4 linked regions of the Astyanax mexicanus genome follow. The protein of the gene in region 1 binds, or shares a complex with, the protein of each later gene. Links are inferred from orthologs where the notes say so. Each region holds a gene or a part of one and is shown in the gene's direction. Other genes may lie near its edges.

Region 1 (8,227 bases):
ATACTATATCACTGTGTTAGGATAAAGTTTAATTACGAGGCTGAAGTTGGTTTGATATTCGCAGCTCCAGATTCGTTTGGCTCGATATTCGCAGCCTCGTATTCCCCGGCTGAAGTTGGTTTGATATTCGCAGCTGCCGCTTCACTGAACCACCGTGAACTAAAGGGAGCGTTCACAAACACCCGCTGTTTATATTAAACACCTCACAGATCAACACTGAAGGAGATAGAATGAAGAAAAGCAGTACATCTGTTTATTAACAATGGAAATATACAATATATTATTAAATATAATTTTATATACACGACCTTTCATCACTTATTTTCTCCAGTTTTACTTACAACATGAATTTGCTTTTCTAGTGTAATTCATTCATTTCCTGAGTAAAAAATATCTGAAATAGAGATTTAGCCTCCTACTTTCAAGAAAACCTGGCATTATCCTGTCCGGAGCCAATTGTATATTGTAAAATATTTATTTTAATTACTGAATTTATAATTATATATTATAATAAGTAATAAAAATATATATTTAATAAAATTATATTTTAAAAGCCATTGCGCTCAAAAAATATGAGGCAGATGTTCAAGTGTGATTTTGAAGAACTTTTTCATGTTGGGCCAGAACAAATACACATGATCTGAAGAGTACTAGTCTTCTACTGTAAGAAAAACCTGGAATTAGCCTGGCCCAAGCTGATTTTATACTTTAAAATGAACTGCCAACATGGAATACCGATCCATAAAGCACAATTTTTTATGTAAAGCTGATGTTCCAGTGTGATTTTGAAAGACTTTTTCATCTTGGGCCAGACCAAATACACATGATCTGAAGAGTACTAGTCTTCTACTTTAACGAAAACCTGGAATTAGCCTGGCCCGAGCTGATTTTATACTTTAAAATGAACTGGCAACATGGAATAACGATCCATAATGCACAAAAAAATTGAATATAAAGCTGATGTTCTAGTGTGATTTTGATGGACTTTTTAATCTTGGGTCAGAACAAATACACATAATCTGAAGAGTACTAGTCTTCTACTTTAAGGAAAACCTGCAATTAGCCTGGCCCGAGCTGATTTTATACTTTAAAATGAACTGGCAACATAGCATACCGATCCATAATGCACAGTTTTTTTTATGTAAAGCTGATGTTCTAGTGTGATTTTGAAGGACTTTTTCATGTTGGGCCAAGATGAAAAAGTCTTTCAAAATCACACTAGAACATCAGCTTTACATAAAAAAAAATGTGCATTATGGCTCGTTATACCATGTTGCCAGTTCATTTTAAAGTATAAAATCAGCTTGGGCCAGGCTAATTCCAGGTGTTCCTTAAAGTAGAAGACTAGTACTCTTCAGATCATGTGTATTTGGTCTGGCCCAAGATGAAAAAGTCTTTCAAAATCACACTAGAACATCAGCTTTACATAAAACAAATTGTGCATTATGGCTCGTTATACCATGTTGCCAGTTCATTTTAAAGTATAAAATCAGCTTGGGCCAGGCTAATTCCAGGTTTTCCTTAAAGAAGAAGACTAGTACTCTTCAGATCATGTGTATTTGGTCTGGCCCAAGATGACAAAGTCTTTCAAAATCACACTAGAACATCAGCTTTACATATAAAAAAATTGTGCATTATGGCTCGTTATACCATGTTGCCAGTTCATTTTAAAGTATAAAATCAGCTTGGGCCAGGCTAATTCCAGGTTTTCCTTAAAGTAGAAGACTAGTACTCTTCAGATCATGTGTATTTGGTCTGGCCCAAGATGAAAAAGTCCTTCAAAATCACACTAGAACATCAGCTTTACATAAAAAAAATTGTGCATTATGGATCGGTATTCCATGTTGCCAGTTCATTTTAAAGTATAAAATCAGCTCGGGCCAGGCTAATTCCAGGTTTTCCTTAAAGAAGAAGACTAGTACTCTTCAGATCATGTGTATTTTTGGTCTGGCCCAAGATGAAAAAGTCTTTCAAAATCACACTAGAACATCAGCTTTACATAAAAAAAATTGTGCATTATGGCTCGTTATACCATGTTGCCAGTTCATTTTAAAGTATAAAATCAGCTCGGGCCAGGCTAATTCCAGGTTTTCCTTAAAGAAGAAGACTAGTACTCTTCAGATCATGTGTATTTGGTCTGGCCCAAGATGAAAAAGTCCTTCAAAATCACACTGGAACATCAGCTTTACATAAAAAATTGTGCATTATGGATTGGTATGCTATGTTGCCAGTTCATTTTAAAGTATAAAATCAGCTCGGGCCAGGCTAATTCCAGGTTTTCCTCAAAGTGGGAAAGTAGTTCTCTTCATCTGATGTGTATGTGTTCTGGCCCAAGATGAAAAAGTCTTTCAAAGTTTGCCAGTTCATTTTAAAGTATAAAATCAGCTTGGGCCAGTCTAATTCCAGGTTTTTCTTAAAGTAGAAGACTAGTACTCTTCAGATCATGTGTATTTGTTCTGGCCCAACATGAAAAAGTTCTTCAAAATCACACTTGAACATCTGCCTCATATTTTTTGAGCGCAATGGCTTTTAAAATATAATTTTATTAAATATATATTTAATTATTTATTGTAATATATAATTATAAATTCAGTAATTAAAATAAATATTTTACAATATACAAAATTATATTTAATAATATATTGTATATTTCCGTTGTTAATAAACAGATGTACTGCTTTTCTTCATTTCTTCATCTCCTTCAGTGTTGATCTGTGAGGTGTTTAATATAAACAGCGGGTGTTTGTGAACGCTCCCTTTAGTTCACGGTGGTTCAGTGAAGCGGCAGCTGCGAATATCAAATCAACTTCAGCCGGGGAATACGAAGCTGCGAATATCGAGCCAAACGAATCTGGAGCTGCGAATATCAAACCAACTTCAGCCTCGTCTTCAGCCTCGTAGTTTAATTAGAGTAAAGACATAAAAAAAGTTTTTTGTTCATTAATTATTTTTTTATTGTTATTATTAATTGCCATTTACAGTTTTGTGACATTCAAGCCAATAAAGGCAGTGATCTCAGGTATTTTAATGCGCAAGGGAAACAGAATTATCATGAAAAATAAATATAAAAAAGCTGTGTTCTTTGTTAAAATGCTTGATTAATCTGGAAAAAATAATATAAGTTAACCAAAAAGTCTCTAGACTTGGTATGTTTTTTCTCATTTTAGTCTATTTTCCTTACACTCTAAATTTTCCTGCACTTCTCTTTTGGTTATATGTCCCTTTCTCAGTGTTAAATCCATCCAGTCCAGTCCATCTACAGGCGCATGCGTGTACTTACAGCAAGCGTTTAAAGTCAGTGCCGGTGTTACAACTGCGAAGTAGCGCCCTCTGTGGTCACAAAACCCGACGGTCACAGAAAACGGTGTAACATCGGTTTATGGAAAGCTCTTGTCCTCCGTTATACTTTACAAAATAACTGCACACCGCTAGAGGGAGTCAATGAAGCCAATTAGCTAAAAACTCAAATAAATGAAAAATAGTAACTAATCACTTGTCCAGGACATCGCTTTAATATTATCAAGTAGTTTCAGACAGTAAAGACCTGAATAATTAGCATTACTGCTACTGAGTGCAGACTGGTTGATGAGCTGGTGCTGGAAATATGGAAATACAGTTAGAGCAGATTTTAAAATGCCCAGAACATTTGAACATTTTAAAGGACCATTTTCAGTATAAAAATGTATAAGAATGCATTGAACAAAGTCAATATACTCTCTTTCTTAACTGTTTTTATATTTTTAGAGAAAATATATCTTATGCATTTTTTTTTTTTTAAACAATACATAAAAAACCCGAATAAACTAATGTTTGGAATAAGGGTATCTTTTTAGCGAATATTCGTTTGTGTATAAAAATGTACCTAAACTTATAATTAAATTTACTATACTTGTAGTCAGATGAAGGGTCATCAAAAAAATACAATATATACTGGAATTTAAGAGGAATTTCCTTACCCAACCTCCTCTTCAAGTCTTAAAAAAGAGCAAGACAATACACAAGAAAAAAAGTGTTTAATGGACTAAATGTGGCTCCTTTACAAAAAACTCCTCACTTATATATATAAAAATACACAAAATAGCATTAACCGAGTAGCAAGGTTTAATATAGCAGTTATTTTATTTTATTATTGAGAACATATAATAAAAGTCAAAATAAAACGACTGTTTATCCTTTGTTGAGCTGACCATTTAAGGTACTTTTTAATTTGCTAAAATGATACCATTATTCCAAACTTTTGTTTATTCATATCTAAATAATTATATACACTCACTGACTAATTTTCGACTAATTAAAAAAAAAATCATAAATCCATCGATATTTTATTTGAATCCCACTTTTCTTTTCTTTTCTTTTTTGCTTTGTTTGTTTATTTGTGTTTTTGTTTTGATGTACTTGTGATGCTGATTGTACAGGATGTGTATTTGACCTATTATTGTGTCTATTTTAGGCTGTTGGACTGTATTGTCCTATTACATTGATTCAACATTGGGGTTTATATTTATGGTTTGTATTAAACTTTACTTGAATTTTATGTTTATATATACTGTAAACAAGAAATAAAAATAAGAAGCATATATGACCAGCAAACCATTGGGCTGAGTGGGGAGCGCCCTCTGGCGGTGAGATGAACCCGGAACACGCTCTGAATCGGTGCAGATCCTTGTTCCTGTTAGGTCACATGTCCAGGGCGCCAAAATAACGCGTCAACAGAGAGCCGTAGTGCGGCGCCTTCACCGTGTCTGAATGAACCCGGAGCTGGCGATGCCTGGATTTGATTTTCCAGATATTTTTATTGTTTAATCTGTGAATGGCGCCTAAACAGGACCCTAAACCTAAATTTCAAGAAGGTAAGAGCGCTGCGGGGCGCGCCGTGCGGGGCGCTGCTGCTGCTGCGGGGGGCTGTGCTTTTGTTTGTGCTAATGGAGAGAGTCGCACAATGGCGCTGAGAGGAGCTGAAACACAAACACAGACCCGGAGAGAACCGCGGCTCTCAGGGATCAGAGGACTGGGGTCCGGGGAGCGGACAGGGTTATCAGCAGGGCCGCGGGTCTGTCTGGTATCTGCGGTGTTTCGGGTTTAGATGAAAGCCTCTGGGAAATAAGGCGGGTTGTCTCTCTGTGTGAATATGACCTATAGCTAGCGTTAGCCAATCAGCTCTCCCCCTGATCCACTACTACTACTACTGCTGCTGCTGCTGCTGCTTCAGCCACCAACTAAACTCTAATAGAATAGCTTAGCTTGCCTTAACATAATATTATGTCGCTTTAAAGCTAATTACATTAGCAAAATATCATGTAAGCTATTTTGTTTTTACAAGGCTTTCCAAGCTTCCTAAAACATCACAAACCAAGCTTGAAAATGTGTGGAATACTGACATTAATGAATTCTTAGATGATAAATCTGTAATTTATTATAGAATAGCATAATATTTTTACTCCAAGTATGAAGATAAGATGTTTTCACATGGAAATGCTATTACACAAAATTCATTACAGTCCTTGCAATGTACATGCTTATGGACTTAATGTTTCAAATATGTGTTAGAGATTCTTAGTTATAAAATAAGTTTCTCCATATGTTAGTAAATTCCTTTATTTGTTTTGAAGATGTTTAACAACATGGTAGTTAGTTATAAGCTAAAAATAGCACAATAGCAGTCTTGGCAATAAAAGCCTGTTCATTTCCAAATGTGTTGCGACGTTTGTTACGAACATGCGTTTGTGGGACAAGCGGTAGAGCTGAGTATATGGGTTATGATAAATAAAAAATGGCAAATCCTTTCAATTAATTGTATAATGAAGAAATGGTACAAACTGGAAGTCCAACCTAATTAGCTAGCTATTAGGTTTGTTATTTGGGAAATGTATTCTCAGTTTACTTAAGCTACAGCTATTTTGTGAAGGCCTCATATGTTTGTTAGAGAACACTAGTGACACATGGTAGTTTAAGAAAGATTAGATAGCCCACTGTTAAATCCATCATCCAAAAATGGAAGTAATGTGGCACAGTTGCAAACCTACCAAGACATGGCTGTCCTGGCAAGAAGAGCGCTAATTAGAGATAAGAGCCCCATGGTCACTCTGGAGGAGCTGCAGAGATTTCACAGCTCCCTTATGGAAAAGTAGGCAGAAAAAAGCAATTTTTTTGAGGAAACCAAAAGAAGTCCCATAGAAGACACAGCAAGCAAATGTGGAATTGTGAGAGCAAATGTGCTCTGTTCAGCTGAGACCAACGTTGAACTTTTTGGATTAAATGCAAAATGCTATATGTGGCAGAACACACAACAATCCTGAAGAAAAACCTGTTAAAGGCTGCAAAAAAAAAGTTGTTAAAAGAAAATGCAGTAAGGGTGGCATGACCTGGCCTAATGTTGTCTTGCTTTTTTGTGCCTTTATTTCAGGTGAACGAGTGCTGTGTTTTCATGGGCCATTGCTATACGAAGCTAAGGTAACTTTTTCTTTATATTATTTTTCTTCGGAAAATCTGAATAGATAGATTGAATGCAACAAATTGTATGTGACCAAATACACCATTTACTGTCGTAGCAGAATTAAACAGTGTTTGTGGGCTGGTCTACAGCACAGTTTGTTGTTTTTCTTGCTCAAACACATTTAATTAAGCTGCTAATTGTAAATGTAATGCCTGGCCCAGACTAGACTATAGGATCTTCACACAATCTTTCACCAGTCTTTTGTCTTTAATCAATGTTAGTTGTAAACCTTCTCACACTACATGATCCACCCCGAATAAAAGCACCACACAGAAGTGGATAACAGCAAAACAATTTGTCAGTGCTTCCTGCTTAAAACAGTAGGTTAACACAATTTAAGTCCAACCTATGTAGTCTATAATCTCAGCTCTCTTGGTTGACAGTCTTCACGTTTCCCACCAGACAATCATCATCATCATCCTCACTCTAAAGGTTATTGAGTCATAAATACAAAAAATGTTTGCCACTTATGCCTCACGATTGGCACAGCCCCAACTTTTCTGGGAAAAGATCAAAAGATCAGAGAAAATTGGTCAGATTATCCTGTGGTGTGGGCCGGGCAATAACAGATTTCAGGTGGGATCAAACCAAACTAAGCTGAGCACCAACACAGACCCTGTCCTGAATATCTCTACAGCACCGATATTTCCGGGTGCTGCACCCCAAGTGTTGATCATGTCAGTAAATCTGTTTAGCCTGTTTAGCCATGTGCTTGAAGTTTGTGTGGAAAAGATTTACCTTATTGATCCTCTCTTTTACAGTGTGTAAAAATCAATATTAAGGACAAACAAGTGAAATACTTCATTCATTATAGTGGATGGAATAAGAAGTAAGTATTCTCGTGTTTGTTTTGATGTCAATAAGAGATTCTGCTGCAGTATTAGCAGATTGATTGTTAAAATATTGTTTATTTATTAATAAAATAATAATGCATTTTATTTAATAAGTATAAAGTGCTTTATAAATTTGTCCTGTTTTTTAAAGCTGGGACGAATGGGTTCCTGAAAGCCGTGTGCTCAAATATGTGGACAGTAATCTGCAGAAACAGAAAGAGCTTCAGAAGGCAAATCAGTAAGTTTCTTATGGCGCCAGCTAAGAACGGCAGAAAACGTATTTGTATTAATGTTAAACATTCAGTTCACATTAAGACACTCTTTTTTTTTTGTCATACCTCCTACACTTACATATAGTTTTAAACAAAGTATAAACATTGATTTCACTTCTTTTATTTAGATTATTTAGACTCTCTTTGTTAGATTTCTAACAATGGTGAAAAAAATAACTATTGTTATTGATGGCAGTCAAGACAAAAAGCTGTATGTTTAATTTGTCTTTTTTATATTCAAGTAAGCATTTATTTTTGAGTAGAGTTTATTAGGTTTCAGTACACTTGTTTGGTTTCTCACTTGTCACATTATCACTGTTTGAGTTTTCTATTGAGAACAGTTCTATTTGTATGATTTTTCCCACAGTGTACTTTTTTTTTACTGTTACTTTTGTTTTTAATAGAGACCATTATGTTGAGGGAAGGATGAGGGGAGTCGCACCAAGCAAGAAGATAGCTGCTGTGCAGCAAAAAAATGTTGATGTGTGAGTTCCTCTTGATTTGATTCTTTCTGTAGAAGAGGATCTGTCTAACTCGTGAATTTGTGATATTTTTCTAACATTCAATTTTTCCATAACTAAAAAAACTAAACAGATAATTCAAGCCTTTTATTCTCTATTTCAGGAAAA
Region 2 (8,101 bases), on another chromosome or scaffold:
AGGAGCGTGCCTTCTCCCATGAACTTCAGCCGCTGATCTTCGGAAATGATGCGTAATAGTATTCATGATGAATTCAATGGAAGAGTGGCAGCAGCAATAACAGTTCAGTGTAAGTATAGTGAAACTTATGACTAAACATTAGTGGAATCTGTGAATGAAGATTAGATTATTTTTCCTACTCTTTCTCCCACTATTGTTTGGGTTTAGAAGAGGAAACATTTACTATAATCATCAGTCACTGTAGAGATATGCCTGACTCTTTTACCAAGAAATCTATTTTGGTAAGCCATGTTCTGAACACCAAGCCATTTAACACAAATGTAATGAATGACGATTACCACCATAGTGAAATAGTTACATGGAACATCACAATTACAAAGATATGCAGGCAGATAAAAGAGACAGGAATAGCTAAAAATCATGGTTTTGTCATGGTTAGTTGAAATGTTACTGAAGTGTTTCCTTTTAAACATCTATATGGTCCATTGTCTGAAATCCTAATGAATGAAACTAGACCGGAAAAAGGCAGAAGAAGACAAAATGACGCAGAACATATTGTAAAGACAAATAAAGTATTTCAGAGAACACGCCAGCAAGTATTAGAGCCACACCCACCACACTAATCTAGGCTGTTTTATTAAAGTTATTACTAAGACAAAGAAGGACACACCAACTTATACCAACTATGGTTTAATACACTGTGAAGTATATCCACAGCAATGTTTACCATGTGTTCTCTATCAACCTCTCTGCATTCAAATGAATAGTTCCAATGAAAAGGCGTGTATTTGCCTTGTGTTTGTCTATGCTCTCAATATAATAAGCAGAACTGCAGGTGTGTATATCAGAGTGTGTGAGTGTGTGTGCACCTGCTTGGCAGTTTAACTGCTTTGCTATCTGTATTTTTCCATAGTGTTCACAGCTCCACTGTTTACAGAGTCATCCTCATGATGTAGTGTATACAGTAAACTGCACGTTGTGTGACATGTTAATGCTGAATTATTGTGTCACTGAACCACATTGCAACTATTTTTAACCGGAGAGAATGGCAGTAGTATACGTCTGCTAGGAAGTGTGGTTTCATTTTATAATTAAAAGCGTATATGTACACACTTCTAGATGTCCTTAAATAAAACATAGAGAATTATCATTAAATAAAGTTTTCAATTCAAACTTAACAGTAACTTTATTAACACCACCTCCATGTTTCTACATGCTTTGTCTATTTCATTAGCTTGATTTACCACATACGAGGACTGTGTAGTCCTATAAATCACAAACAGTAGTTCTTCCGTTTCTCTATTATCCTGTTTTACTCCTGTTCTTCAATGGTCAAGACCCCAGAGGATAAACCACCACAGACCAGCTATTATTATATGGGTGGCGGGTCATTCCCAGCACTGCAGTGATACTAGCAAGGTGGAGATGTGTTGGTAGTGTGGATTGTGATGGTATGAGTGGATCAGACACAGCAGTGCTGCTGGAGCTTTTAAACCCCTCAGTGTCACTGCTGGACTGAGAATAATCCGCTAACTAGGAATATCCAGCCAGCAGCGTCCTGTAAGCAGTGTCCTGATGAAGAATGACTACTTTTTACTACAATTATTTTTTATATATAAAAACATCATTATACATTCCATAATAACCAAGGGTTAGATTAATTCCTATACCTATTCATTCAAATCTGTGGCGCCAGTCGGGTGTAGGGGAAGGAGGAATGTTAGAGGTTATCTGCAAGCAGGGTTTATCACATTAACTACTTTAATGATTTCCATGAACTTTATATCTAAAATGATTTACATTTCCATCAGATTACAGCAGCAAAGCTCAGTGTTTGCCTTTCAAACACACACACACACACACAGTGTTTCACACGAGTTAACTTTGCTTATATTTGGCTGTTTATACGGCTGAGTAAGATTTGCTATACTGGTATGCTAGCTGGTTTACCAGCTCTTGACCTGCACAATGTATTGTAGCATCAGTGTGGGAAGGGTCAAAGTAACAAGGCTAAACCATAGCTCCATAGTCCCAGCAACTTTATTGAAATATTTCTTTTAAAAATGGCAGCCCACTGATAGAGACCCTTATTCACCCCTAACACTAACACCAGCAGGGTGAAAAATGCTCCACCATTGCAACCACCACAAATAAAATAAAAATAAATACAAATAATCACAAAAAACCTAAACGACCCAAGGAACAGAAAGAATGCAACTGAGCATGCTGAGAACTCTAGTTCTATGTTACACAATTTGCTGCAAGTTTGCACTTTGTTGTCTATATTGTACTGTTTGTTCCATGTTGCACCATGGTTCCAGAGGAACGTAATTTCATTGCACTGTGTACTTGGACTCGGATGAAACGGCAACAAAAGACTATTGACTTGACTTGAACTCCCTGATAGATCCTAAAATGAAAACTCAAAGATTAATTTTACCTTTAAACCTAGAGAACCTATGCATAACAACTCTAACTTAGGCACTATTAGTCCTCAAATAGGTTTTGGCAGACTTCTGACAGAGGTGTATGTTCCTCAAGCTGAACTGTGTTTCCACAGCCAATAAAAAGAGTTTGTATTGGTAGAGCTAGTATTGGTGTTTGTGGTAAAGAGTTGCTGATGAAAAATCAATTGTACTGAACCCTTATCTACTGAGCAAAAACCAAACGTTTTTGTCAGACAATATAGCATGTCTATTCATGCAAGACCATGTAATAAATAGCACAACAGTTACAATAATAAGTAAACAGCTCCTGTAAAAACATTTGTAGCCTACTATATGATGAAATATCAAGTCATAAACACTATACATATTGTTTTTAGACTGGATGTCAGGTAAAAGTATAAAATGTTTATGTATTATTTACTGCAACTAGTGTGTGCAATGAACAGATACATACTCACTAGTGAATACACTTCAAAGACACATACATGTTTTGTGAGAACATATGCCTGGAGCGATGGGGAGGTGCCCAGGGAGCAGTGGCCACTTAAGAGCCTTGCTCAACAGTGAGACAAATCCAGGTATCGAGCCTACAACCTGGTATTGTTTGTTTTAAGGGTGTAGCTAAACATTTCCTGCTAGACAAGTTGCATTCAATACAATACACTGCAACACAATAGCTTACATTCTAAAAAAAACCTTTAAAAATGGCAAAAATGTCTGGCAGCTAAAACGTCCAGACATTGACTGTAAAGATAAAGTAAGGGATAGGCTGATCTAAACTGGTAAGCATACAGTTTTCTAGTAACATCTATTTAACTTTGGCTATCAGAAAATCCTCATGTTTGCCTACATGTTAATCTGTTCACAGAAAGCAAATTTTGATATTCAAACCAGTCCATAAAGCATTAGCTGTGCTTATATTGTTCTTATAGAATTCTTTGAAAATATTTGCATCAAACTTCACTGACTTCAGGATAAGCTCTGCTTTGTTTAAACATTGTGGGGCTCTTTCCCCTAGTCTAGATCTAAACAGAATATGCTGTGTATTACAAGACTAAGCTTAATCCCTGCCTGGGAAAGTAATCCTGTATGATCAGGATTTGGTCCAGTCTTTTTACAATTTTTACATTGTCTAATGATGATGTTCATGGAAGGCCAGTGATTGTTTGACTAATCTATGTAGCATTTTACAGCTGGATAGACAATAGCTGGTTGCAGCCAGCCATTCATGAGTCAGAGTTATTTAGGCAGGGACACAATGTACAGAAGAAAAGTATGTTAGCCCTAAATCTCAGCGTGCCTTGGCATGAAGCCCTTACGTGAGATGCCATCCTTTTGACTTCACCGACCAGATAATCTGCCCTAAAAAGATAAAAGAAAAGAATGTGTTAAACAAAAAAAAAAACAGTTTTTGAACTTTCTTTGCAAACCATAGTATCCTAAATACTTTTAAATGTGGAGATGTTGTGAATTTGTGTTTAAATAACATACATTAGGTATGCCATGTATGCTGTACAACTTGTGTCACAGAGGGAAGCATGAAGCAATTCTGTTCTCTAACTTGAGACAGACTATGAAGAAATCTTTTGAAAAAACCCTGTATCTCATCATCTTCATGTTGCAGAACCTTCCTAAATGAGACAGAATGACGCACTGCATATCAGTACTGTCATGTCAATTATTATTACAATTTTATACACTTGAAAAAGGCAGCAGTCATTATATTTTATATGTAAACATTTTTTGACTAATGGACCAAAAGTAATTCTTCACAATTATGTTTATGTAAACTCATGACGCAGTCATTCACAGCAGTGTTTTGGCAGCAACAAAACACACTGCCACTATGACTGTGCATCAGTAGGAATGTTCCACTCCTTCACCAGTAGACTTTATGGTACGTCAAACCACAGGCTGACGTCAGTGTCCCATCCCTTCATTTCAGCAGTCCAGGAGATTAAAGATGATAAATAATAAACACCTGTCTCCTTTGTTTTGATTAATGCTGTTTTTGGGCAGGAAGGAAGGAAGCAGGAAATACGGGTAATTGTAAATGACAAAGTAGATCATTCAGAGGTGGCATATTCTGCATCATTTATGTATTATAAATGTGAGTGATGAAAATTGAAGAGTTCACTTTTATACATTAATAATAGTTAATCTTTGCATTCCTTATTATAATTGTTTCATTACTATATCACTTGACTGAGTTTTATCAGAAATTACTTTTTTATTTGTATTATAGAGCGACTTACAAGGTTAGTCCTTCTACAACCCAGTGTTAGAGGTATTGTCCAAGGACTCCTCTTGGTGTAGCACAGAATAGTCACCCAGACCGGGAATTGAACCCCAGTCTCCCAGATGGTGCACCAGTAGTAAAATTATGTGTTATTTGTATACATTTTATTTTTATTATATTTATTTCATGCCAATTTAACACTGTTAATTGTCCTTCTTTTTCTTTATTATTATTATTATTATTATTATTATTATTATTATTATTATTATTATTATTATTATATTATCATTACAAGTAAATGTCTCAGAAGACAAACCAACAATGTGCAAAATATTAACCAAGCAGTTTTATTTATAATAATAAATTGACTTAAATAAAAAGTGCTTGTTTTTGCCATTTTTAGTTGGATATTTTCGGTTGCCTAATATTTGGTGCATACCTATATTTTGTTATTAATGCCACACATTTTAATATAAAAAAAGAAGTGACGTGAAAAAAAATCAACTAAAAAAAGGTTATCCCAACCACCAGCCTCTCTCATCCCTTCAGCTTAGTCATTTTTCTCAGTCCTAGCTCCACTTATCAGAAGGGGTCTGGCCTTCCTGCCTCCTGCTCTGTCCCTCTTACAGTCTCCTCCCACAGTCTCCTCCCACATCATCATATCCTGATAGTGTGGTCAACTCTAGCTAAATAAAAAACTGTGCCTAATGTCCTATTACGGGTGTGAATGTGACATTGAAGATGAGTGCTGAATGTTACACAACCATATATACCACATATGTCACAGGCCCACCTTTTGATCTGATGCATGATGGGATGAAACAGTACAAGTCATGCTCTTTCTATTTCCTCCTCACTCACTTCAGAGCATGTGGTCTGGATTCCAGTCCTGTTATTAGAGGGGAGAGGGGAGATGCGGGTGGGGGTGTAATAGGCCTCCCTGTACTTCACCATCAGCAACAGCAGCAACAACACATACCCGACCAGTGAGATCATCGCCCACTCCATCTCACAGCTATGTAACTGGGGGCCTGTTGAGACACTCAAGGCCCAGGGTTCAGACAGACCACCCTGGATGAAACCAAAACAAAGGCCTTCATTCATAAAACTCTGCCTCAGAGTAAACTTTTCTAATGTTTAAAACAACAGTTTTTTTCTGTTTTATTTCTGTCCTTGATTCCAGTAAATTTTTTGATGTGAGGAAGGCTTTGTTTCCGTGGTTCTAGCAGATGTTCTGCAGAGAAAGAGCAAGAAAAAGAGACAGAGAGAGGGAGGGAGAGCGTGGGGAGGAATGTGGGGAGGAGACTTCAAAGTGATAAGTAACCAAATACGTCCCTTTGAGGACAAAGCTCTCTGTTTTTGTGGGAACAGACAATCTCAGGCTTTCTACCAGGAAAACCGAAACTGCCTTTTCTCCACAAAGGACAAGATAAATAGAACATTTTAACCCTACAATGGCAGAGCTTCTAAAAGTTTAATTCAAGATAATTTAAGTACATTGTTCTAGAAAAATAGAATGTACAGCTGGAGTTCCTTATAGACTCGTTTCAGTCTGATCTTTTGGTCTTTGGAGCATTTTAATTGGTTCGTTGCTGGCACATACCTACAGCACTCCCTGCATATCTTTACATAAATGAAAACGAGTCGAGACTTCTTCTTCATTCTTGTGTGCACGAGTCTGACACACCTTAGTTATACAAGCTGCTGCGTGGGAAGATAGATCAAACTCCACACTACAACAAATGTTAAAGAGTAAACTTCAATAAGCCTGATTCATTCACTGTGATTTCAGATCATTTCAAAGCAGTGTTAATAATATACTCATAACAACAAAGCAGCAGCAATGTCTTATCCAGAGGTTTCACAGTGAGTCAGTGAATATAGTCCTATGGTTTCCTGCTCTTAATATACCTTTAAAATGTTCTAGGAACATTAAGCAATAGGCACAGATTCATGTTTGGGGAAACTTTAGCAGTTGAAACATTTGCAGTTCTGTGCTCTTCATTATTGTGTGCATGTGAAGTCTGCAAGGCTTTAGTGTGGGGTGTCTCATTCTAGTCCTCTACACTCCCTTCCTGCAGCATTTGGTTACTGCAGATTTAAAAGTGCCCTAAATTTCCTTGAGGTACAGCCAAGAACTGATTGAGTTGAACTGATATGAGTTGATGGCCTTGTTTACACCTTTCTGACAAACAGCAGAGAACATTTCCAGCTGTTATTCAGCTGAGTTCATTCATTTAACTGCTCATTGAGCTGCATAATGTTTGTCATGTGAACTGAGCTGTGGAATACATCAACCAAATCAATGAAGGAAATGCGTTAAAACAGGAAAAATGGGTAAGCATAAAGATCTGAGCAACTGTGACATGGGACACGTTGTGTTGGCTAGACCAGTATTTCTTGACACTATTTATGGTGACTCACTCCCCTGCACTTTTTGGTTTTTTAGTGCTTCCAGATCCAAATAATCACTGAACAGCCCATTATTAAGTTAGAGTGTGTGTATGTTAAAGCAGAAAAAACATTAAAATTTGCAATACAGTGAGCCTCATTGACCAGGGTTAAGAAAACGAGAAAATGAAAAAAGAGTTAAACCACTGGGTCAAATCTTACAAAAATATCAATGGTATGCAGTGGTCAGTTTACCCATCAAAAGTGGTCTGAGAGAGGACATGCAATAATCTGATGATAGGGTCATGCACACCTATAGCTCACTGAGACCCCACCTCATAACATACAGGCATGCTGACTTAAAGGATCTGCTGCCAAGATAACAGAACTTTTTTAGAGGCCATTGTAATGGTCAGATCTGTTAAGCTGGCACAAGGGCGACTTATTCAGCATTAAACAGGTGGTGCTAATGCTATGACTGATCGCTGCACATGCAAATGAGCTTTAAAAAGGCAAACAAATAAACAAACATGTATGACCGATAACAATCTTTCTGGGTATGACATACGCAGAAACTGCACGCCACACCGCTCTGCCCTTTCAAACCCAGCACCCTCTAGGTGTTTTTCGCTCTGCATCTGCACACTGCAAATGTAACCAAACCTGGATGAGCACCGCATGGCTCATAGCTCTATTTGAGAAAGGCCTAATATAACAAAAAGCTAATAAAATAGTCAGGACTCATACCGGCGGCCATTGTGCGCCGTACAGGATGTGTAAACTTTGTTTAGGATAGTGTGTTCTTTCGTGAGTTTAGGGAAATGGAATACTTTTTTTTTTCCTTGAATGTGAATGTGTGAATGAAAAGTGGGAGACAAGCAATGTTTGTTCAAATCAACACTGCGTCCTTGTTCACCAAGGACAAGGCCTCTCTTTCAGCAGACCACATTCTTTTTAACAAAGGCAGGAATTATACTGCATGATCCACCACAGCCAATGAAAAAAATACCTCTTGATCTCATGG
Region 3 (8,116 bases), on another chromosome or scaffold:
GTAAATTCTCACAGCAATGTTTTAACATCTAGTTTAAAGCTTTTCATTGATGATAAGAGTCTGATACTGCAGCAGGAATTTCCTTATAGAATAAACCTAGTTTCAGCAGGTGTCTACAAACTTTTGACAAACAGTGTTTCAGGTTTAACTATAGGCCCCACTTTACTTGTCTAATCTACTTTGATAAAGAACGTTCCAGAGTGTTCGAAAAGTCTCTGACGGCTGTGTTTATCGTTGCAGGAGACGAGACAGTATGAGGTGTCTATTTAGAGGCTGTTCAGCAGTGGCTGTCCATCTTCTACACTCCTCCTCTTCTTCTTCCTCCTCTCCTGTGACAGCTCCTCTTCTTCCTCCTCCTCTTCCTCTCCATGAGTTCCTATCCTCTTTCCCACCTTCCTCTGAGCTCCTGTACAGTATATTTTTCCTCCAGAGGACCTGTGTAAACACTGGAAACATGGTGGACAATATAACGTTATTTTTGTAGCGCTTCAGCAACTTCTACCTTTTCTTTTCTTCTTCTTTTTTTCTTTCAAATGAGCACAGAAAGTGTGTGTACAGAAACATAAGAGGGACAATATCTATCAGAGTGCTTTTCAGGGTCTGCATCCACAGGAGATGGATGTGCTCTGGACCTGAGAGTGAATGAGTGTCCAGGCCAGGGTTATCTAACTGAGCCACAGCGACACTCTGAGACCAGTGTTAATACCATCCTCACTCAGTCTATTTACAACATTGGCACCATTGAATGTCTGCATGGGGGTTCTCTTTCCTAAACACTTTGTAAATAAACTGACTGTTCCAAACCCAGACGCTTTGTGTCTTTCTTGCAAATCATCTGTGAAGAAAAAGCTGGAAAAACAGGTAAGTAGAGTTATAATAGTGATAAAATGAGAAATAGCCAAAATGAAAAAAAAAGATGCAGAGCTTTCAGACCTCAAATAATGCAAAGAAAACATAAGTGAGTTAAGAATCAATATTTAGTGGAATAATCCTGTTTTTTAATCACAGCTTTCATGCATCTTTGCATGTTCTCCTCCACCAGTCTTACACATTGCTTTTGGATAACCTTAAGCCACTCCTTGTGCAAATATTCAAGCAGTTCAGTTTGGTCTGATGGCTTTTGATCATCCATCTTTCTCTGGATTATATTCCAGAGGTTTTTTTAATTTGGTAAAATTAAATCAAAAACTCATAATTTTCAAGTGGTCCCTTAATTTTTTTCCAGAGCAGTGTATATATACGGATTTTGATGTAATGATGTAATTATAAGAATTCGGTAAGTCACAGTCTGACTTATAGTGAGAATTTAGTAGATATAGGCTGCTTGCCAAGCTACAAATGCAGCCAATGTTTCAATTGATTTGAAGGAGGCAACTGATGTATCCTTCCTGGCTCTCGGTTACCCACAATTTACTGCACACATCAAGGAGAAACGGAAGGAACAGCACCACAAAAACTGGGCAAAATTGCATGAAAACAAAGATTATGTTGCTCTGTTATCTTATTCCAATGTTCTATCTAATGTCATTCCAAGACCAGCCCCCTATTCCTCGACTGCAGCCTAGAATATTACATCACAGCTTATATATAGCTTATATGTACTATAGATACTCGTGAACTTGTTTTCTTTGCATTATTTGAGGTCTGAAAGCTCTGCATCTTTTTTTGTTATTTCAGCCATTTCTCATTTTCTGCAAATAAATGCTCTAAATTACACTATTTTATTTGGAATTTGGGAGAAATGTTGTCTGTGGTATATAGAATAAAAACAAGAATGTTCATTTTACTCAAACATAAACCTATAAATAGCAAAATCAGTGAGACAGTGCCTGCAGTTTTCAAACACCTTTAAACATACACACATTATTAGAAGTGTGATTTTTCTTTTCAGCTGGAAACTCTACAGAGGCGTTAGAGACTATTGTGGCTCCACAGCAGGAGGTTAATAGGCCTGTTTGCAAATGAAATCGTGACGGTTACATTTGTCATTTTGGCTCCATTACCTCTTTAAAAAACGTCAAACAACTGTACATAACAACAGAAGGCTTTAATAATCCACAATTAATTAATGCAATAAAGTATCATCATGATACTCTGAATAAAGCAAAAACCTTACTTAGAGAAGATACTAGGTGTCCAAATCTGTTGCTATATTTCTTCTTTTTTTTTTCAACTTTAAAAACATCAGAAAAAACAATGTTTTGATCAATATTGTGTTTCCTGAAGTGATATAAAGATGTTATATCTGAAGTATGGACTCTTTGGGAGGTGAAAAGCAGCAGTTGCATGGTTCTTTTTAAAAGACTGCCCTCAAGAGGACTGAGCTGTTATAACAGGAATATCAAAACTAATAGGGTATACTTACAGAATATTAAATGTCAATATTCAATGCAGTGATTAATGGGAAGTTATTAATATTATATAAAATAATAATAGTAAAATAATTAGTCATAACTAGCTTAATTAAGCTATCATGATGCTTTATTGGGTTGAAAGACACTGATCTGTACAGTATATGAAAAAAAAATTAAGACACTAAAAAGAGAGTGAAAAATATCTGTCCAATATAAATAAAATGTTCGGATTATGTTTCTGTGCATTATGATAATTGTGATGACTCATGTGGCGCAGTAATCCCTGTGTAAGCTTGATGTGGGTTCAAAAAGAACTTCTTTTATCTTTATATGTCTGTCCTGTGTTATTTATTTACATAATTTGTTCTCTACATCACGGCCATTTTTCATGATGAATTTATTTGGAATAAAACCTTTTTACACTGCCTTCATCTCTTATTATATTGATAATTATAAAGAACATTTTTTTATATACTTACTACTTCTTCTTACACTTTTGACTGAATTAAGCATCACAAAAGTAACCTTTATATTTAATGGTAATAAATGGTCAGATATGTCCATAAAATAAGAGTCAATATGCATAAAGTGTTAAAGTATAAAAAAAAGCAAAAATGTTGGAAACCCTAAATCCCTTAGACACCTTCATATCTTTTATTACTGTCATAATTTATTGTAGTTTCATACACCCTAAAACAGAAGTCTGCATATCGACATTGTGGTGCCTTGTCGTAATTTCATAATAAACTAATAACACAGAAATGTAATTAAAAAGTGATGTGCACTTAACTTAAAAACAATAGTAAAGTCTGCTAATTTGCATAATAAAGCAATACTTATATAAATAATTACAAAGACCATGTTTTATATTTTTTACTACTTTTTATTGAACTTTTGACTAAATTAGGCACCCAAAATTTCAAATTACATATTTATTGGTAATATTTACTTCCATTCAATTTATATTTAATGGTAATAAATAGTCAGATATATTACTTTGTATGACATTTTGACTGAATTAAGCACAACAAAAATTACATTTCTGTGACTATAACATTATTAGGCATTCTTACTAATATTAGCTGCTAATATTAACATAATTTGTATGCAGAATCGCAATAATGATCAATTAGAAACGATTTATTGTACCGGCGGCTAAACCGGCGGGTCTCCTCGCTGTAAAAGAGCATTAATAATAAGGTCGGAAATCCGCGGTAAATATAGATATATATACTCCAGGGTGAGATATCAGACGACCTTAAATGACTTTAATCTGTGTATTTGTTTTGGCAGCGGCTGAACACAGAGACCCGTTACTAACAAAACCCGCCGAATAACGGAAAACTACAGCACAGCGACAAACACACACCCTGCAGAGCTACAGCCGGGACTACTACAGCTCACACTGTCCCTAACACACCGATAAACTACACCATAACGCTGAGTTTAAACCCGGTAAACAGCAGCGCGACAGCGGAGACCGAGCAGTTCAGAAAATGCCTCCTAAACGCAGCCAGCGCTCAACCTCCTCCAAGATGGCTCCGAGGCGGCTGGGCGACGGCGCATGCGCAGAAAGGCGGTTCCACGCAAGTTTTGCGCCAAACGGGGACGGGGAGGTCGATTCAGTTTAAGGAACCGATTCTTTCTAGTTGCTTGGTTCAATGAACCGAATGAATCAAACCTTACTGTCAACGATTCGTTCCGTTCATGTTTATTTTTCGAATCTACACGGTTAAAACTACACGTAAATAAATATATTATATATATAATAATATATATATATATATATATATATATATATATATATATATATATATATATATATATATATATATATTATTGTATGATTTATATTAATATAAATAAGTCTGAATACTAAAACACGGACGTAAACATGTAAAAATGCAATGTGTTTGATTAATGAATAAACTCAAATAAAAATTGATCACAAAAAAGTATCTGAATATTATTTTATTCTTACTATATTATTGCTTTATAATATTGTATTTATTTTATTTATGAATGTTTTTATTTACATTTGAATTACAATTACTGTTTACTATGTAAGTTAAACTATATAGCATACATAATATAGCTATAATAGTTTGATTCAGTTCCAAATCAAATCGAGATTGTACACAGAACACAGAAAAATACTTTTTAAAGACTTAAAATAAATTATTCCATCAGTATAATTAAAGTATCCATTCCAAATTCAGGGAAAATTTAGGTTTTAAGACTCAAAATATTATTTTTCCATCTTTGGGGCTTCGTAAGGAATCGACTCGCCCCGCTTTTATTGAAAAGATTTGGTTCAAATGAACGACTCGCTTGCGAATCGGACGTCGCTTGTGTGGAGGATGTCGCCGTTGTCGTCGGGTTTGCTTTCACACATGATAACAATGATCTCGCCCGTTATCTCCGGCACCGTTCTGCTGCTGGCAGGCTGTGCTTAGAGCCGCGGTCTGGTTTCTGTCCCCCGGTTGGGGCCGCACGGTGTTCTCGCAGTGATGGAAGCGGCCGCTGTGGCGCCTTTATCCCGCATCTTTGCTGGCCGCGGTCAGAGGAGGAGGAGCGGGCAGCGCGCTGGCTGAAGGCCTCAGTTAGGCCCGCGGCTGTAGGATTTCTCGGGGTTTGACTCCGGGCAGAGCTTCTCCTGCTGCTCGGCGCTGTTTTAGGAGTTTTCCTGTGTTTACCTGCTTGGAAATACACAATTTGGAGTGTGTGGTGATTTCTTTGCGTGGCTGCGGGACTGGAGCTGAGAAGCTGAAACGCTGGAAAGCTAAGAAGCTGATGAGCTCGGGCTGCTGTTAGCACAACATTGGCATTGAAGAGACTTAAGAAGAGAGACGTGTGGGTCTGTTTCTTTCTGTGGATACCTATAGCGTTTACTAAGCGCTTGGACGGAATTTTTAGAAACTTTTTGAGGGGATTGTCCGGCTATAACTGAGCTGGACTGCATTTTCTTTCTGGACTGAGCTGGCTGGGTAAGCTAGCGCTAGGTTAGATAACCTAGCTAGCTTAACTAGCTTAGCCTAGCCTATCCAAACGCTCATTAACCTCGACTTGTTTGAATGTGGGATAAAATGGAGACCCCGACAATCGTGTACGACCTGGACACCTCCGGTGGGCTGATGGAGGTAAGCAGGGTGGCTTAAAAGCTGCAGAAAATTGAAGAGTGTGGCTTCTTGTATCTTTGTTTTTTTCTTACAGTGTACTAGGGATTGCCCGGCTGCTAGCTAGGTTAGCTTAGCTCAGCTCGTATCTAACGTTAGCTAGCTGCTGTAGTCTAATCATTAGCTAGCTAGCTTAGCCGTCACCCTAACATCTTAGGTTAGCCAGCGGTTAGCTAGTTAGCTAATCTTGCTAAGCTATTTCGCTGTATTTTTCATTTATATCTCTGTTTAAAAAGCGTGCCATCACTCTTGGTTTATTGGTTTATTTAATGATAAGTAGCTACATTCATGGTTAATGTTCCCTAGGCTAGCTAGTGTTATCATCCGCTAGCTGCTACCCGCTAGCCTGTGTTTTTGGGCCCAACAATGGCTGACACGTCTCGATTCAACCCGAGCAGGGTGGACGCCATAATATGGTTTTATTTTTTTCCCCGCTACCATGACGGTTCTCCCTCTCATAGCTCAGCTATCACACTACTAAGATGTTCGTCTGCCTGTCCCTCTCGAAAACTTCGTTTTTAATCAAATCATACGCAGCAGACAGTTTAGTTTGGGCTCTGAGCGGGTTTTTAGCGCTGGATGGTTGGCTCAGAGCTGCTCAGAAGTGCTGCGGCTCGATCGCGCCCAAACCCCGCTAAACATGCCTCTCTCCTCCGTTTCAGCAAATCCAGACTCTGCTCGCACCGCCCAAGTCCGAGGACTCGGAGAAGAGGAGTCGAAAGCTGGACAGGAGCACCAGGAGATCCGGCCGGGCCACCAACCACGACACTTGCGATAGTTGTCGGGAAGGAGGGGATCTCCTCTGCTGCGATCACTGCCCTGCTGCCTTCCACTTGCAGTGCTGGTGTGTACACACACGACCAAAAGTTTGTAGACTGTAGTCCTGCTCATCCTGGTGTCTCTACAAATATATGTTAACACACGGTGTTTTGATTCTCTTGGATATATATACACAAAATATTAGAACATTATAAAGACTAGTCAAGTCAGGTAGTTTTATTATCAATACTGCATATGTACAGGACATACAGGGGATTGAAATTACTTTACCCTCCTTCCCCAAGTTACTGCAGGTACAGCAAAGTAAAAATTATAAATAATAAAAAATGAAATGATAGACATTTAACGTACAATATAACAAGGTCACAGATATAGACATACATGAGACAAGAGACACAAGACGAAAGTGCAAATACAGAGGTGTGTGTATATAGAGGAGAATCTTAAGGCTGGTAAAGTAAATGAGTGCATACAGTTGTTTAGATTTAATGTTTCGCTATGGAGGATATGTCATTTGTGACTGATTATGGTAACGGGTTGTCTAGGTGAAATCAGTTGGTGCAAAAAGAAATACTTCCAGACAGGCTGTTGGTCCATTGTAGTGATTGATGGCAGAGTTCACTTATTGTAATAGATTCCTGTCAGATACATTTGGTGGTCCTGAGTAAGTCTTTCCAAACTTTCCAGAACTATGTTTGACACAGTTGCCACAGTTGCCTTTGAACTGTCGTTCACCAGATGTGAACTGTTTGATGGTTGTCTTCGCTTGTTAGCCACTCAGTAAAATGTTTGACTGTGTGTAATCAGTGCAGGGCTGGTTTATTTGTTTTGCAGGCCAGGCAGAGGAGACTCATTTGGTTGTCGCTTGCCTGTAAAGACTCCCACATGATGTTGTTGATGAGCTAAAAAAAAAAAAAAGAAAGCGTTCGCACCTTGATTATCTTTTTGTAGAATCCTGTAAGAGTATAAGAGTAAGCAACGATGCAGGTCGATTGATTTATTTATTTTCCTAATTGTGTCACTATAAAATCTGGTGCACAGAACAAGGCATCTGATGTATTTTTATTATATGACCATGAGCAGACCCTCATATGAGTAAGTGGAGTAAGAATTAAGAGTCTCACTTTGGTGGCCTGTAAATATACACTCAGGCTCAGGACAAGGATAGCTGGACGGTATAAATAATCATTAACCAATATGCTTTGCGTCCCAGGCAGCCGCAAGTTCTGGCTCTAGCGTGCGTTATAGAAATACCAGACTAAGAGAATAATAGACAGACAAAGAGACAGGGCCTTCCGCCTGATTTGTGGTTTTCTGCCGCAATTAACTTATTAGAAATGCAGCCAGGCTCTCCTCAGAAAGCTCTAAACAAACTCTTAAAGCAGTCAGACTTTTAAAACAGTCTCGTGGAAGAAGAGACTTCGTGTCACGGCTCTGTGCACAGTTGGGCTCCAGTAATAATTGTTCGACAAGAGATTTAAGATTCTGAAATGCTCCAGTTTCATCTTTGCCATTGTTTATCTTCGCTTGTACGAACTACTGCTTTAAATGAATCCATGTGAGTTCAGAGACCGTTCAACGCTGAACCTATCCGGCATGCATTGTGCACAGAGGCCTTTGGCCCAGTGCCCAGATGGACTCAAATCCGCCTACAGTCTCACCTGCCTTTCATCAAGCTCGACTCTCGGGCGTCCCCACATTCAAATAGGCAGCATAGATAGAACTGATGACCTTCATAGAAAACTTTTTGCTGATTTTAGTATTGGAGCAAGCTGAGAAGAGGTCTTGAGTGAATAGTGAAGGTGT
Region 4 (7,653 bases), on another chromosome or scaffold:
TTCCACTGCTCCCTCTTTATGCTTGTCTTTGCTTATTTTGAGTTTCGGTAATGTAGTCTCTGTGTAGTTCTTGTCCTCAAAGCCCTCCAAAAGCTTTCCATGAAATGCAAGCCTACATGTGTTAGCGTGTATGTCAGAGTCCAGCCGTGAGCCAATCACCAAAGAAAGTGGTGGACATGTTACTGGCTGCTCAAACTCCAGTAACGCCCACTGCTGTGGTTCCTTCCCCTCAGTTTCTCCCGGACTGCTCAAAAACTCCTCCTGGTGATGAAACTCCCACTCAAAGGAGAAAGAGTCCATGCCCTGCTCTGAGGGACTTCCATCTGAGGCTCCAGACGGGATGCTGCGAGACACCCTACTGAAGAATGACACACGTGCCATGACTGTTCCATGTCCAACGGTGATGTGGAACTTTGAACGGCTGCTAAGTGCACCACGGTAGTATTCAATCTTATGCACAGAAATTATGGCAGCATAAAGAGTTCGCAGGGAGCCAGGTGTGCACACCACACCACGTTCCAGCAGTTTTGGGTCAAACTGTGTCACACACACACCAACCCGGTCTCCTTGTATCGCACTAGGAACTGGCTTACGAAACATCTGTACTGACTTCACCTTCCGGGTGACCTATGAAGAACAGTAGATAAGGCAATAACAATAACAAAACAAAACACATTGTACATTTAAAATTCAAAATGTGTGTCTGGACAGCTGAACTCAATTGTAGAATAATGTGGTATATTTCTTAGTCAATAGCACTGTATTCAAAATCATTTCATACAAGATATAAGAAAAATCATACAATTTGGCAGAGATTTATCAGAAGGGGTATTGTATTAATAATTTATTAAAAATAAGCCCCCATACAGCGTTTTCGAGAGACTTTCCTGCAGGCTAAATAATAAACATTGATGCATGTGTCCTCATAACATAAATGTGCAGCATGTGCTTGTGTACCTTAAGTGCAGGTATCTCCAGTGTGTCATTGACGCGCAGCGCCCCCTGTAGAATGGTGCCTGTAATGACTGTTCCCTGTCCACGGATGGAGAAACAGTGATCCACAGCCATAAGCAGGGAACCAGATGGATCTCTCTTAGGCAGGAAAGCCTGAGTCTTTAGCAACTAAACACAAACACACAAACCTCATAATGTATAAAATGTGACACAGTCCATTAATAAGGGGTTCACATCAGCCCAGGTCCCAATACACCAGACTTAAGTTAGTCAAGGCATTTAAAATAATAGGTTGCATAATCATACTGAATTCAAAAGTATAACAAAAATGCAAATCAACAAAACCAAACCAAATGTAATAATCTAACCTCTATAAGCTCAGTAATTCCCTGTCCTTCCTCCGTGTCTGGAGCATCCGGACCCCCTGGCTTTGCTGCCACAGCAATGACAGGGCAACCTTTAAACCTAACCACACACAAAAAAAAGCCATTATTCAAAAATCTGAGAAGCATGCAGATTTAATAAGGCAAATGTTTTCTGAAGCATTATGCATATGTTTACTGACACATGGCATAGCTTTGGTAAAATGCATGTAAGGCTGAGCTCAATAACAAAATACAAACTTTTTTTCATATACATTTGTAGCATTAATAAAAAGTATAATCACTACTAAAATGTAACCACTGCTGCTCTACTGTTGAATTTACCTCATGCTATGTTAATTAGTTAATTTTGTTAAATGTTTTTTATTTAACCATCTTAAAATATTAGTATATCTTTCTGAGGTAATCAACTAAGCTCCTTCTTTCTTTGTCACAGTATCTCTTAACCATATTTGCTGCATGATATGGAATAATATGGAATGTAAAGTCTTTTCCCGTGTCCTTTATTTGTAAGGTGTGCTTACTCAAGTGTATATTATGAAGGGCATTCGAGTTTCCCATTACAAGATACAATATAAAAAGACATTATGATACTATACACATTGTTTTCCCTAAGTTTGAACTGACAATATGGGAGACTGTGTGTCTGCTGTAGCTCACCTTGTGTTCTCCAAAGTTTTGTGCATCCTCTTTGTCATCTTATCGATGGCACTCTGTTTCTTGTCACTAGGCAACAGGTCAATTTTATTAAGAATGACAATCATCCTGGAGCAGGTGAGCTGACCAATCAGGAGACACTCTGCAGTCTGTGTCTGCATGCCCTTTACCACATCAACCACTAACAGCATCAGATCAATAATCTGAGCACCTAAAAACACACAAACACACACAAGCACATATTTAAGACAAGATCAAGTACTTTATATGCAGAGAGAGAGCGAGAGAGAGAGAGAGAGAGAGCGAGAGAGAGCGCGAGAGAGAGAGTGAGTGTGTCTTTCCTTTTTCTTCCTGACACACATTCTTTACTGAGTCTTCCCGCAGGGGGAGTGAGGAAGTTTAGCTGGAACCTTAAACACCAGCCTTCCGCCTTAATCAACCACATGTGCCCCCCGAAACACACTACATCCTCGTAAATTGTCTCAACCTTCTCCTCTCACTTCCACCTCCCTCTATTCCACCTTTCTCTAAATGCATTTAGGTAAGCAAGACCTCAGAATATTCTACTTCCCCCTGAACACCCCTCCCTTCTCCTCTGTAACCACAGGGCCCCTGAAACAGGTTGAATATGGATACAGGGAAACCAGCTTATCTGACAACCCCTCTAAACTTGAATACAGATCTATAAAATAAAAATCTCAAACTACTAATATATCATGTTATAATTACAATATATCAAAAGTAACTCTGCCACCTCCTGATATTACCTGGAACTGCATGGTTACATGAACTTGAGTGGGCTCTGGACGAACAGTTGAATGAAACTTTCTTTCCTGTTTTCTGTGATATGATCTGTAGTTCAAGTTTGCAGTTGTAGAATCAGCGAGCATGTGGGTGTATATAGCTTGCCATCTATCGCAATTCAGAAAAATAAGGATTACTTGCAAAAAGGTACAAATGCAGTTTAAATAAAAAATCTAGATATTGTATGACAACTGTTTAGTGTCCCCTTAATGAGTCAAAATATAGGTTTGAATATCAGTCAAATATAACCACTGATGCAAACTTTTTCTGTCTTTAATAAATACCTAATTCCTAACCTACTGTTTATATCTCACCTCCAATTATGGTCCGTATGAGTGAGGCATGCCCCGGACAGTCCACCAGTGTGAACTGCAGGCTGTGGTACGCTCTCTCCCCGCAGGCCTCTCTAAGGTGGTACGGTAAAGGGACGGTGAAGGCGCTAAAGCCCAGATCCAGGGTGATGCCTCTCTCTTTGGACTGCGGGTTCTTGTCGAAGGCAGCGGTGGAGGCGGTGCTGCTCAGAGCCCTGGCTAGAGACGTCTTCCCGCTGTCCACATGGCCCAGGACACCCACATTAAAGTTCAGAATCTGGGGGAGGAGGCCGTCCCCAGCGTTAGCGCTCGGATCTGCCATGTGTGGAAGAATTAAAGACAGGATCCGAACGAGACACAATAGGGAAGCAGTGGACTTTGATCTAAGATGACTGTGCACTTTCAGCTTAATTCACACCAAAAAAAAGTTGTGCTGCTGAAAAACACAGATCTTGTAAGTTAGCTGGATGCAGTTTAACTCAAGCACCTCTCAGATGTCAAAAACGAGTAATTTCAAACTGAACCAACTCGAATCAACTCCCTCCTATACAGACAGTGCGCCATATCATATCGTTTGACAGATACGCTAACTACACTTCCTGCGTCGCCTAAAAAACACTACCTCCACCTACGGAACATGTCTCAGGGAATGGGACCCAAACGTAGGTAGTGGATAGTGTTAGCTAGCTGACTAGCTAAGCTATATGAGCTGCTGCTGACCTACTGCAAGTAAAGTTATAATATAATACAAGTAAGTAAATAAAATAAAATAGTACCAAAAACAAGATAGCTCTGTTTAGCTACGTATAAATCCACAAGACTGCACTTTTATGCAAAAACATCTTGACTGAGGACTTAGATAAATTCAAACGATGCTAAAACTAAAATATGCTGTAAGACAAAAAACAATGCAGAATCCCCAACATTTATAAAATAATAATAAAAAAATTAAACAAAATTTATATATAACTTAAGTTAACCTGCAGTGAAACATCTTACGTTAGCTAGCTAAAGCACGCAGCGCACAGTTATAGTTAGCTTAGCTTCTGTTTCTAGACGGATCTTTAAACTCGCCCACCAACGGAAAGGGCCAGCTAACGTTCTTCAACGTTAGTTCTTCAACGCTTCTGATGAACATCGGTGTTGACCAATGAGCGAGCAGATCGGAAGACTCTTAACCAATAGCGATAAAGAAAGAAGCTAGACATGTTAGCAGGGGCGGTGACTTCCCGAATCTCCTTGGTTACCCGCATGGAAACGCGGTCCCCCGTGTTTGCAGTCGCGCCGATTTCAACGGCGAAGCAGAAGAGCGCTGCTGGGCACGGAGAGAGCTTCTACTCGAGCTTTGATAATCACAGAAAAGAGCCATGAAGATCGAGGAGGTGAAGAGCACGACGAAGACCCAGCGCATCGCCTCGCACAGCCACGTGAAAGGCCTTGGCTTGGACGACGCCGGCAATGCTAAGCAGACCGCGTCCGGCCTGGTTGGACAGGAGGCCGCCAGAGAGGTAACTAATTAACATGGCTAGGAGAGCTAAGCTAGCTAACCTAACCAACTAATGGGGAATATGTGAGCTGACTTACTTTCTAGCTACCTAAGTAGCTTACTAACTAAAATATCATTTGATTAGGAAAACCGACGACTTGCAATGAACTAGAGCACAGTGTGTGTGTGTGTGTGTGTGTGTGTGTGTGTGTGTGTGTGTGTGTGTGTGTGTGTGTGTGTGAGAATTAGGCTAGCGTGCTAACTAATGTGTGTGACACCTGCGTCTGTAGCTAGTGTAACTAAAGGTGCACGATAATATCGGAACTTTATCGGTATTTTATTCGTTTAGTCAGAATGATTTTTTTTAGTAATGTCGGTATTTTTTTAGGTGTTTTCAGAAATTTAATTAAAGACAAAACTGGTATTTATATGCTCCTATTGTACTCAAAACAAAACTTTAGTCAGGTCTACTGTCCCAGCGTTTTGCTCACTGTAGCCTAGATAACCTAGCTAACATACCTTATGTACTAAATAATTAAATAGCTAAAATTAGGGGAGTGTCATATCGTTTTTTAATATTGTAAACAATATTATACCCTGAAATATTGTGGTAATTAGGGGTGGGTAATATGGCACATCAGGGTATTACCTTTCCTATTATATATCTACGAGAGACAGATTATAGTTAGCTATGTTAATACTTGTGAATTGCTAGTTTATATTTAAATATCTGCAGATTGCAGTATATCTGCTGACAACCTCTTCTTCTGAGAGGCTTACTAAATAACTGCAGCTAAATGTTCCCAATGGTCCTATTTTTTCCAGGCATGCGGCATCATTGTGGAGCTGATTCGTTCCAAAAAGATGGCTGGCCGAGCTGTCTTACTTGCAGGGCCACCTGGAACTGGAAAGGTAGGCAATACAAACCAGTGGCTTTGCATAAAGACCAATGTTGATGCAACTAAGGTTGACGAGTAGTAGTTTAGTGGTAGTGTGTATAATCACCTGTTTATGCCCGTCAGACTGCTCTTGCCCTGGCCATGGCCCAGGAGTTGGGAAATAAGGTGCCATTCTGTCCGATGGTGGGCAGTGAAGTGTATTCATCTGAAATCAAAAAGACGGAAGTATTGATGGAGAACTTCAGAAGGGCTATTGGTGAGTCCCCATAATAATACATCTACTTTCACAAGTTATGCAGAATGCTGGAGAAGAAATGCTCTGAGTGAAAACTTGATGTAGAACTAATAGGAAATATGAGAATACAGTATTATTTGTAAATTGTTTAATACAATGTACTACATAGGTAATAAGTGAATAACACTAAATATGATTAAACTCATTAAAAATGCAGTCTAAAGTGAGTGATAAATGTTGTTTTATGTAAAGCCATTGGGCTTTTATTTTGTAGGCTACAGTTTTCATACCTGACATTTCTGTCCACCCCAGTCACTGAATGGATTTAAGTTTTCAAGAATATTGATACAACCTGCAAATTCAAATAAGAGATTTGGAAATTGTTATGGTAATATTATTTGTGTAAAAAATGCTCCTAACACTTACAGATACAACAATATCTGTCTGTTGATATAACCTGTCATAAGAGAGGAAATGGCGTAAATAATCTTAAAGGGGGAGAGAGGCATGCTGTACGAGGCCATAGAGAGTCCATTATACTGCTGTCAACATGCCCTTGACATTTGCCCTTTGCTTTTGGCTCACTCATATTGAGAGAGAGTTACTGAACACCAGTAGGCAATATGCAGAAAAAAAAATTGGTTACTGTGTTACCAACACACTTTGCTCCAGAACATCCAACTGCCACACCAATATTTTACATTGTTACATTGTGTGTGTGGTCTGTGCAGGTCTGCGAATTAAGGAGACTAAAGAAGTGTATGAAGGTGAGGTGACTGAATTAACGCCATGTGAGACAGAAAATCCAATGGGTGGCTATGGGAAGACTATCAGTCATGTCATCATCGGCCTGAAAACAGGAAAAGGAACTAAACAGCTGAAGGTAAAAATTAAATCTAAAACACATCTTTGTGGTAATGTGAGAGATAATATTTGTGTATATACCATGTGCTCTATTTCTCTGTGCCATAGCTTGATCCTAGTATCTATGAGAGTCTACAGAAGGAGAGGGTGGAGGTTGGTGATGTCATCTATATTGAAGCCAACAGTGGTGCAGTCAAGGTAAGGACACACACAAGCTATTAGTTGTGTTTTTTGCACACTCACAGCACACTCTTGGTGTGTTGATGTATCTTTTAGTCGGTGCAGGTGGGCAGGCAGTCTGGCAAAGGATTAAAGACAAGACTGTATTTCGTAGTGCTGACAGACCTTTCAAGGTCCCTATACACACAAGCACAGCCACCTTGTGGTGCCATTCCATTCAGGTTTCTAGCATCATATTTGTAGGACTTGCTTTCAACAGCAATGCTTTAACCAAAACAAGGTTAGTACTGAGTTCTGAAGTCATTCAGAAGTTTTCTCAGAATTTGTGGAAAGATTTATTATTTTGATCTGTTTTACTATCTCTGTTTTATAGATTTTAAGATTGAATAAATTATATGATGCTTTCTTATATTTTTCAATATCCAGTATTTTAGTTGTTTTAAAGTACTCTTCGTTTTAGATGAGCATATAAAAGGAGACTTATTCTCAAGCTGCCAAAAGCACTGTACTACCCAAAATGAAAAAATGCATAACACTCAGGTGAGAAGCTGGTTTATAAATGTCCAATACCTGTCTCATTAAAACTAAATAACTGTATTAAACCATATTTTTTTCATAACTGATACAAAATTAAGGTATTCATGAAAGAAAAACTATTAACAGTTTCACAAACGCAAGTGGTCAAAAACAAAGGCATGTAATTAATGTATATTCATTCTATACAGATTGAATTTTTGTCTCCTGATGTTCATTAAGCATTGTTTGACAATATACCTGATACTCATTAATACTGATATACCATAAATTGCCAGGTGCTAATGCTAGTCATAATGTTAAGTATATTTGTATGTATAATACTTACTGAATGATTACAGCTGTG

Evidence for each region.
Region 2: morf4l1 (region 1) and vps72b share a complex: the UniProt entries of both Homo sapiens proteins name them as parts of the nuA4 histone acetyltransferase complex. The link is inferred for Astyanax mexicanus from reciprocal best matches to the Homo sapiens genes MORF4L1 and VPS72.
Region 3: the proteins of morf4l1 (region 1) and phf12a are in contact, whole or in part, in a cryo-EM structure (PDB 8BPA), measured with the Homo sapiens proteins. The link is inferred for Astyanax mexicanus from reciprocal best matches to the Homo sapiens genes MORF4L1 and PHF12. Residues at the interface, in NP_996670.1 of Homo sapiens: Glu201, Lys204, Pro205, Leu207, Val208, Asp209, Trp211, Asp212, Tyr251, Ala252, Glu255, Val256, Gly259, Ile260, Glu262, Tyr263, Val266, Met267, Thr270, Gln271, Leu272, Leu273, Tyr274, Lys275, Arg278, Pro279, Tyr281, Ala282, Leu285, Arg304; in NP_001028733.1 of Homo sapiens: Cys62, Glu64, Gln81, Cys82, Asn84, Pro86, Pro204, Leu206, Arg207, Arg208, Pro209, Phe210, Leu212, Leu213, Ile214, Ala216, Ala217, Arg220, Asn221, Pro222, Thr223, Gln224, Phe225, Gln226, Leu227, Pro228, Glu230, Leu231, Thr232, Thr330.
Region 4: morf4l1 (region 1) and ruvbl1 share a complex: the UniProt entries of both Homo sapiens proteins name them as parts of the nuA4 histone acetyltransferase complex. The link is inferred for Astyanax mexicanus from reciprocal best matches to the Homo sapiens genes MORF4L1 and RUVBL1.

Annotation. Positions count from the first base shown.
Region 1 is NC_064416.1:24,297,140-24,305,366, forward strand, and holds the start of morf4l1 (mortality factor 4-like protein 1), read left to right. Parts: upstream 1-4,665; 5' UTR 4,666-4,810; coding exon 4,811-4,850; intron 4,851-6,403; coding exon 6,404-6,450; intron 6,451-7,254; coding exon 7,255-7,322; intron 7,323-7,477; coding exon 7,478-7,564; intron 7,565-8,002; coding exon 8,003-8,083; intron 8,084-8,222; coding exon 8,223-8,227. UniProt on the Homo sapiens protein: Component of the NuA4 histone acetyltransferase (HAT) complex which is involved in transcriptional activation of select genes principally by acetylation of nucleosomal histones H4 and H2A.
Region 2 is NC_064413.1:39,939,569-39,947,669, reverse strand, and holds the start of vps72b (vacuolar protein sorting-associated protein 72 homolog), read left to right. Parts: upstream 1-4,939; 5' UTR 4,940-8,101. UniProt on the Homo sapiens protein: Deposition-and-exchange histone chaperone specific for H2AZ1, specifically chaperones H2AZ1 and deposits it into nucleosomes.
Region 3 is NC_064427.1:4,877,090-4,885,205, reverse strand, and holds the start of phf12a (PHD finger protein 12), read left to right. Parts: upstream 1-4,680; 5' UTR 4,681-5,428; coding exon 5,429-5,494; intron 5,495-6,192; coding exon 6,193-6,374; intron 6,375-8,116.
Region 4 is NC_064412.1:16,297,744-16,305,396, reverse strand, and holds the start of ruvbl1 (ruvB-like 1), read left to right. Parts: upstream 1-4,331; 5' UTR 4,332-4,476; coding exon 4,477-4,617; intron 4,618-5,420; coding exon 5,421-5,507; intron 5,508-5,617; coding exon 5,618-5,750; intron 5,751-6,460; coding exon 6,461-6,612; intron 6,613-6,701; coding exon 6,702-6,791; intron 6,792-7,653. Other genes in the region: eefsec (selenocysteine-specific elongation factor), read right to left, coding at 1-627, 958-1,122, 1,323-1,419, 1,998-2,205, 3,113-3,431. UniProt on the Homo sapiens protein: Possesses single-stranded DNA-stimulated ATPase and ATP-dependent DNA helicase (3' to 5') activity; hexamerization is thought to be critical for ATP hydrolysis and adjacent subunits in the ring-like structure contribute to the ATPase activity.